Linked DNA regions of Mus musculus. The protein of the gene in region 1 purifies or fractionates together with the protein of each later gene. This does not show direct contact. Links are inferred from orthologs where the notes say so. Each region holds a gene or a part of one and is shown on either strand. Other genes may lie near its edges. The genes, in order: Rsu1 and Parva.

What was found.
Region 2: the proteins of Rsu1 (region 1) and Parva purify together in Homo sapiens (affinity purification with mass spectrometry; 3 studies listed by BioGRID and IntAct, counting the BioPlex papers as one, with this or other methods). This does not show direct contact. The link is inferred for Mus musculus from reciprocal best matches to the Homo sapiens genes RSU1 and PARVA.

The regions. Positions count from the first base shown.
Region 1 is NC_000068.7:13,268,417-13,272,832, forward strand, and holds the start of Rsu1 (ras suppressor protein 1), read right to left. Parts: upstream 3,000-4,416; 5' UTR 2,784-2,999; intron 2,607-2,783; 5' UTR 2,604-2,606; coding exon 2,495-2,603; intron 1-2,494. UniProt on the Homo sapiens protein: Potentially plays a role in the Ras signal transduction pathway. Capable of suppressing v-Ras transformation in vitro.
Region 2 is NC_000073.6:112,426,120-112,430,527, forward strand, and holds the start of Parva (alpha-parvin), read left to right. Parts: upstream 1-1,586; 5' UTR 1,587-1,845; coding exon 1,846-1,981; intron 1,982-4,408. UniProt on the Homo sapiens protein: Plays a role in sarcomere organization and in smooth muscle cell contraction. Required for normal development of the embryonic cardiovascular system, and for normal septation of the heart outflow tract.

The DNA.
Region 1 (4,416 bases):
CTGCAGATAAACCTAAGCAAAAGAGAAGAGAAGAGAAGAGAAGAGAAGAGAAGAGAAGAGAAGAAGAGAATTCTTACACAATACTCGAGGTAATTTTATCATATAGCACCCACATTGGATGCCAACTGATTGCTGTTTTAAATTTATTTGTGTTGTGTTTGAGATGAACCCCAGAACTGCACATGTTCTACACAAACGCTCCACCACTGAGCTCCAATCCAGTGAGTGGCTGATAAAGCCAGTTTAGGGTCAGGCTTCCAGTGAACACTCTACAGTCTTCCAGGTTCTTAGGAGTCCTGACAGCAAGGACTCAATACACCCAGCCCTTCCTTAAGCCAACACCAGCAGAGGGAGTGAGATTTTTAAACTTCCGCTGATCTTTCCAAGAAATACCAATGTTGTCTCTTGGTTTCTGGTTTGAGCAACTACAGAAATGACCTTGCTTTTTATCCCCCAGTATTAGACCAGAAGCAGTTTTTTTTCCCCTTCAGGAAGCAAGTGGCTATCTTTTCCCCTGTAGTAAGAGCCAAGGCTTCAAAGAGATAATGGAGCTGAACTGAAATAGCAGAGCTACTCTTGTCATTTGTTAATATTACATGGGTCTTCATCTTCCAGAATGATACAAATGGCTCAGACCACTGTGGGCTCAGGCTTCAGCCCATAGGGAGGCATGCAGCAGGCAGAGAACTAGGTGCTGTTCAGGGCGCAGATGCACCTGGTCCCCTGCTCTCTGTTTAGCCTCTTCTTCCTTTACAGCAGTGGAAACCGAAATAAAGCCAAAGCAATGGGAGTGTCTAGATCCTCGGCAGACACTTCAGTGTCAAAAATCACCACAAACCCATTCTTACTGCAAGAGACCAACACATGTCACCCAAACCAAGAAGTTATCAAGATGCTAAGGGTATGTCAAAGCAGGACTCTTCATGATAGCTAGATGTCTGCAGTCCACTTTGGCCTTAATGTGTCAACATCCATCCCAGCCTGTACTCCAAGAACAGACAAGAGTCTTCATGCCTAGGAAGCTATCCACTGACTTTAAGGTCTCTGTACAGCTCCCCTCTGGTTGATGTTCTAACATCCTACTCTGACTCCTATCAACATTTAGAGTGCCGACTGTGTTCCAGACACTATTCTCAAGAACACAAGCATGGCATTGCATATTCTCTTGGTATTCGAATGAGGAAGAGAGTCTACTGGATTAAAAATAAATTAATTGGACTGGAGAAATGGCTCAGCGGTTAGGATCACTGGCTGGTCTTCCAGAAGTCCTGAGTTCAATTCCCAGCAACCACATGGTGGCTCACAACCATCTGTAATGGAAGCCCTCTTGTGGTGTCTCTGAGGAGAGCAACCGTGTACTCACATATGAAATAAATAAATCTTTTTTAAAAAATTAATTAATTAAAGGCTATGCAATCTGTGCCTTGTAGAAAGGTGGGTTCACACAGGAAGATAGAAAGAGAACGTTTTTCATAGGCTATGATGTCTGAGCTGACTCTTGGCAGTTAAGTTAAGGGACGTCAGGTGGAAAGGCATATAGATAAGGAGACAACAGACTTGCAAGTCAGGAAGATCTGGCTGCTCAGGGTCACTCAGTGGAGCTTATTCAACATCGCTTGGAATGAATGCATGGAAGGGATCGGTTTATGATCAGAATCAGACCTTGTATGTCCCGCTGAGGAATGTGGGGGTACCACTCTCAACAGTTAAGCTCTCAGAGGATCCAAATGAAGTCACAGGAACCTACAGAAGCGTGGTGACTTACTTAAAAAGTGTTTTCAAAGACCAGAATTAGTTTGCAGAATTTAAAGATCATGAAAAAGTGGACACTAGAATTCTCAACACAAAATCTGGCGATAGTGATGCAGCATTTACACATGGGGATAACCGTCTCCATGTGGAGAAGAGGAGATGCCCATGAGAAGGGCACAGGCAATGGAGTTTATGACCATTCCCACTTGTACTGAGTTCCCTGTCTGGTTTTACAGATGAGAAAAAAACAATAAAGTAAGAGTCATATAAGTTCACAGCTGAAAGCAACACCCTGATTAAACGGGTGCTGAGCTTGGATCACAAGATTGAGCAATGCCTGAACACAAATGGGAGAATGACCCAGGAATACGTAATGAAGGAAAATGTTGAAAATACTACTGGCACAAGAATTCTTACTATGCATGTAATTTTTGAGTACCACCAGCTCATGATTCATAGAGTAAAACGTGACTTCCAAATTACAAACAAAAATGGCTACTTGGGACACTACATGGAAGATGGACTTCAAAGCTATGAAGCTCCCTCACCCGCTGAGAAGGAACTGCAGCACACCTCGTGTGACGTTCTCATCTGGTTCACCAGTCCCAGCAGAACTAACTGTGGTTTGCAAGCTCCTGACAAGTGACCAAGTGACGAGCAAAGGTGGAATGGCAGGCTTCCGAAACTCGCCTCCCAAGAGAGCAGTTACTTACAAACTTAGCAACTGTCCAAGAGAACTTACACAAGCCGTTGACATCCAACATACTGGAGATACCCCTGTCACTCATGTCCACTTCCGGCTGGTTCTTCTCCCTGCTCTCCTCCACCAGCTTCTTCAGTGACTTGGACATGTTCTGTAGCAAAGGACAACAAAGCACGTGGATGATGGCAAAAATGGGAGCCTGGGGGTTGTGGGGCAGGTTAAGGCAGGAAAGGAGCAGAGGCCCAGGCTGAATTCTCCAGGGCTGCCTAGGGGAGAATGGGTATCACCATGGAGTCCTTAATGGAGGACTTGGACCCCGCACACTCACCGCAGCGAGCAACACCTGGTGGGTGTGATTAGGGACCTGCAAGGGAAACTCGGGTGGAGAGCGATGAACTGGATCAGCCGAAAACAGGATCCCGCAGCAGGAACACACCCTGTCCCAGCGATCGCGCAGGCGCACACAAAATCCGGCCAACCCCACGCCCCTCCCGGCCTGACACTTCCCAAATTAGGAGAACTGTTTCCCAGCTGTGGCTCCAGGCGAGGCTCTGCCCACTGAAGAAAGTGGACCCCGAGGCGGACCAATCGTACACGTTTTAGTCTCAGAGACTCCGCCCTACGCTGAGGAACGCCCATCTTCTTGAGTTTGGAACTTGAATTGGACTCAGCAAGTGCATGTGATCTAGATTCTGCGCATGCTCAGTAAGCTAGCTGAAGGACAAAGTTCTGTGGGCGGAAGCAGGGGATTCTAAGCTGGTCGCTGGTACCGAGGTAGACTCTTAGAATGCAGCTTGTGTTGAGGGATTTGGAGTTCCGTCCTGAGAAATCCACAAGTCAGGTACTCTCTTTTGTCCTGCGTCTTTCGTTGCCGGTCCCCTCCCACGGAGAGTTGTTACCGTGAGTCCCTCGTGTGCCCCTGGCTGTCGCAGACCTGGTGGAGGTATGAGGTCTGGATTATGGTAAAGATTCTGAAGACAAAGATTCCGCCCGAAACTTATGTCCTCAGCTGGTAACTCACAGGTTTCTGTATCTAACTGTTTTGCTCCGTTCCTTTTGGTCTTGGGAACTGGAATCTATCTCCCTTAGGGTTAGATGCTAACAGTAAACCACGACTATGTCAGAAGTCTGAGTTGGTGTTTACACCCATGAACCGTGAAATCTTGGCTCTTAGAACTCTCCCACTTTCTTCAAATAGAATGGATGGATAGATAGATAGATAGATAGATAGATAGATAGATAGATAAACTTTCTGCTGACCCTCTGGGTTCTACCTCCTAATGACTAGATCTTGATGACCCAGTAAAAAACTTAATCTTAGTGACAATTTCACACTATTAAATAGGAAATCATTCCAGAATTATTCCTCTGGCATTAGGTACATGACAGATAAGCAGTCAGACAGACGTGCAGAAGTTTAGACACACATATATAAGCAATGAGCCAAGCAGGTACTAGAAAAAGATTCGGCACTTTGAATTTGAAAGCAGAAATTTCTCCTTAAACACACTTCAGATGAAACGATGATACTTGCAATGCAGGCAACTTGCATTGTCCAGGCCTCATCACTTTTTTTTTTTTTTTTTTTTTTGGTTTTTCGAGACAGGGTTTCTCTGTATAGTCCTGGCTGTCCTGGAACTCACTCTGTAGACCAGGCTGGCCTCGAACTCAGAAATCCGCCTGCTTCTGCCTCCCAAGTGCTGGGATTAAAGGCATGTGCCACCACGCCCGGCTTGCCTCATCACTTCTTAAGCTAGACATTTGCTGAGAGCACTGATCTAGCACAGTCTCATACAAGCTGTGGATGCAGTTTCAGTTTCTGTGAGCCCTCTAAGCCCAAAGCATCAATATTTATTAGTGCTTTTTGAAAGGTTACTGATAGTTTTTCTCTGGCTGTTTCTGATGGAGATAGTTTTACTATATAAGTTTAAAGCATCATTTAGGGCTGGTGTAACAAAACG
Region 2 (4,408 bases), on another chromosome or scaffold:
CCTATCAGCTTGGCCTATTGGCAAGTCCGAGAGGCATCTTCTTGATTAATGATTGCTATGGAAGGGCCCAGCTCACTATGCATGGTGCCACCCCTGGGCAGGTGGTCCTGTGTTGTATAATAAAGCAAACTGAGGAATCCAGGAGAGGCAAGGCAGTAAGCAGTATTTCTCCATGGTCTCTGCTTCCGATTTCTGCCTCCAGACTCCTGCCTTGACTTCCCTCCGTGATGGACTGCTACCTTACAGGTAAAATAAACCCTCTCCTCTCTAGGTTGCTTCCGGTTCTGGGATTTATCAGAACAATAGGAAGGAAGTTAAGACACACATTCTCATCACCAACATGCATGTCACTCATCAACACGTGCCTCTGGCTGAGAACAGACACTGCTGCCTAGCTGGGCACTAGATCACAACCTAGTGCCCAACTGCTGGACCGATTTCTCCAGCTCAGTTCAAAATCTTGCTCCCTCTGAGTCAGAGGTTCAGTCAGATTCCATCAGTGTGTGTAGTGTACATGTGGAAAGCCCTCCTCAGAGCAAGACAGCCACCATCTTCATCTAAGCAGATGTGAGAACTTGCGACCTCCCTTCCCACTCGACTCCTGACCTAGAGACCGACCCTGTTTATTGATGTTCCCTTATAGAAGGATGGAGCAGGGACAGTCACTGAATTTTCATCTCAATTCTGGCCACTCCCTCTTGTAACCCTACTAGGTCATTCTGTCCTAATTCCACGTGGTCACTGGAGGTGTTAGAGTAGTAGTCTGTTGAAGATTAGCTGAAGGGGATTCCATTTAGACAGTTAGGGGAAGTCATCCGCCCTGGGGTAGAAATTTGCAGTAGTGCAGCTGCTTTGGGGCCCGCCCACATTCCTGTAGGTGACTCCTTCCCCAGGCTCTGTAAGTCTGATAAACTCATTGGATCCCAAGCTTGATTTCAGGGAAAAGGTAATTTGGTGGTGGTGCTCTGGGAAGGAGACATAGATATTTGTTTATGCCCCATCACGGAAAGAGCTGTGGAAACAGTTATGTAACTCTTCCCGCTGGTGTATGACCAAGGTATCCTGAAAGAATGGGAAAGAGATGGTCAAGCCACAACTTAGGACGAAGAAGCACAGTAAAAGTACGCAGGACTCCTAAACATCTCCAGCATGAATCTTTAAAACTGCCTGGTGTGACTCCAGCGTCAGGTCAAGAGAGTCTGGAACTAATTCTATTGCTCTTGGCTAGATAGATGAGCGTCTGCCGTCGTGGACTTCCAGCTTTGTTTGAGTGTGGACAGGAGAAGGTGGAAGTCCGCAGATTCATGCAGAAGTTGAACGGGAAGTCTGTTGGGACCAGAGCCCATTTTAGATCCTTGACTTCTTTGTGAGACAAAAGTACTAACAGTATAGGAACCCATCCATGCAGGAGGTAGAGCAAGAGACCGCAGCAGCTGGGAAATAGGGTCACAGGGCTGATTCCCTGCGGATTCTGACGCGTGTGTGTGTGTGTGTGTGTGTGTGTGTGTGTGTGTGTGTGTGTATGCAAAGCAGAGAAGTGAAGGCTTCCAAGCTCCAGATAAGACCTCACGTCCCCCTAGCATGCACTTGCCCCTGCGTCTATAGCCCCCAGCAAGCGGCAAGCCAGGGCATCCTCGTAGCCAGGGCAGCCCTGGGCACGGGGGCCCCAGGCGCAGCAGCTCCTCGCAGGGCGGAGGGCGGCGCGAGGGAGGGAGCGAGGGACGGGAAAGGCGAGCGAGCTGCCTCAAATGCCTGGAATAATTCCGCTTCCGTTTGGAAAGCCGCAGCCTCAGTCCCGCCGCCGCCCGCCGCGGCCGCCCAGCTCCAGCTCCGCGTCCAGCCGCCATGGCCACATCCCCACAGAAGTCGCCCTTGGTCCCCAAATCACCCACTCCCAAGTCGCCTCCGTCCCGCAAGAAGGATGACTCGTTCTTGGGGAAACTCGGAGGGACGCTGGCCCGGAGGAAGAAAGCCAAAGAAGGTAGGAACAGCCGAGGCCGTGGGCGCTGCAGGGATCGGGAGCCTGGAAGTGGGAGACCCCCCTGGCAGTGCCTGGGCGCGCCTCTCAGTGTCCCCATGTCGCCTCCAAAGCCCTAACCGGGTCGGTGTCATCTCTGGTCCACAGGCGGAGCCCAGGCTTTGGGTGGCTGTTGTCCCAGAGCCCAGGCCCAGCCGGTCCCCTGTGCTCTCCCCTAGGCCGCTGTCCCCGCCCTCTGCGCGCCCGAGGACTGGCATTTGCCAAGTTTCTGCTGGAAAGTTTTCTCGGGCGCCGTCATTCCCCGCTCTCAGCCTTCATTGGTCTGTTGCGCCGTCGTTTCCTGGGCGCCTTCAGGTCTTTTGCTGCAGCTGCAATGGCCTCCTTGGATCTCTCGCGGGCTCCCTGGACTTGTGTGGACTTTGATGATCTGTATAAAATGTTAGTTGACTGACTGAGAGAAGAACGTGCCGAAGTTGGGGGGGGGGGGATTGAGGAATGGTGAGATAAACTCACTACACCTAAGGACTGTGACCCTGCTGTGAACCTGGACATTCCATTCCAAGTTTTATTTAAAGAAAAAGAAAAGATTTCTTTTTCCCACCACAGTGAATTGCAGCAATCTCATTTTTTGTTTCCAGAATAGTTTCTGTGGAAAGTACTTTTTCCCCCGTAGGCAGAATTTACAACTCACATTTGGGCGTAGGAAATGCAGTGATGATTCTAAAAATCAATGTGGCGATAGGTGTGTGAATAAAAAGGGGTTTAAAATGTTTTCCTCTTTGGCATGGCTGGGATTGGATTTAGAGGGCCTTAGGTCTACTGCGTGAGCACCGCGGTCTTATTCTTTCTCTTTTGAGACTCTTTAGCCTTGTGCTTAGTCTTGTGTAGCCCAGGCAGAACTTTGTGGTCCTCCTGCCTCGGCTTCCAAAGTATTTGGGATTACAGGCCTGCCCAGCTTGGTGTTAATTGATTGTTCTTTTCTGTGGTACTGGGGGTTGATCTTAGGGACTCTGATGTTAAGCAAGTGTTTTACCGACACGGTGTTTCTAGCCCAAGTCTCCAGATCATTTCAGGAGTTTACTTTAGTAGGTCTGAGGTGATGAACTAGGAAATGTCTCATGTTCTTAGTCTCCTGAAGTATGGAAAGCACTTTGGTGTTTAATTAGCAAACTCAGTGCATGAGCTAAGTGTCTGTTGTCTAGATTGTGGCATGAATCTAAAAATCACCTCACCCCCAAGTGGTTGTTGTACCTAGTCCCCCCTTATTTCTAACAGAATGACTCCAGGATGCTCATCGAATGGCCAATACTATGAGCTCTTCTGAGCCTGATATAGTGTGCTTTTCCCTGGACATGTATATGGTAAAGTTTAACCTGTATGTTAGGCACAGTAAGAGGTTAACATGGCTGAGATGGCTAAGTGGGTAAAGGCACGTGCCACTCCAGACTGGGGATTTAGATCCTATGTAAGGTAGAAGAAAAGAGCTGACTCCACAAAGTTGACCTCTGACCTGTGCCAGAATACCCACATACATGCATCATGCACACACAATAATGGTAATAATAACAACAGATAGTACTTAGTATTACAGGCATTGCAGTGCTGAGACAGTCAGGCTGATACTTGAGCCAATAACAAAGATGGCTACTAAGTTACCAAGGCTGCGTATACAATGTGTATCCATAGGATTCCTATCCCAGGAATGAAGGAAGGTTTGGAGTGAAGCAAAATCTCATCATGCTAATCAGAATGGTGTGCAACTTAGGAATTATTTCTGAAATTTTTTTCATTCAGTATTTTGCAACCACAGTTGGCCATAGGTCTCTGATACCACAGACGCAAAAATAGTGGGCAGGTGTGCTGGTAAACCATTAATTGTTGTAGTGTGGGCAAATGATCATGAGATCCTAGCTTGGAAGTCCTTTTTCTAGCTTGTGTTTCTGGTATGGGCTCATCCATCTGACAGATGGCAGTTTAGAATTACTGAAGCTCATAACTGGCCTGCAGTGCCCATCCCACTGCTAGCACCTTTGAGAAACGTTTTTATTGGTCCAAAGTTTACCAGTGTGTGTCCACTACTTTCTTGGAGTCTGATGTGACGTTGACCTGTTATTAGACGCGTTCTCACGACCGGCCAGGAAAGACGCAACAAACCAGAATCTTCTGCGGCAAAACTTTATTGCTTACATCTTCAGGAGCAGGAGTGTAAGAAGCAAGAGAGAGAGAAAACGAAACCCGTCCCTCTTTTAGGAGAGTTATATTTCGCCTAGGACGTGTCACTCCCTGATTGGCTGCAGCCCATCGGCCGAGTTGACGTCACGGGGAAGGCAGAGCACATGGAGTGGAGAACCACCCTCGGCATATGCGCAGATTATTTGTTTACCACTTAGAACACAGCTGTCAGCGCCATCTTGTAACGGCGAATGTGGG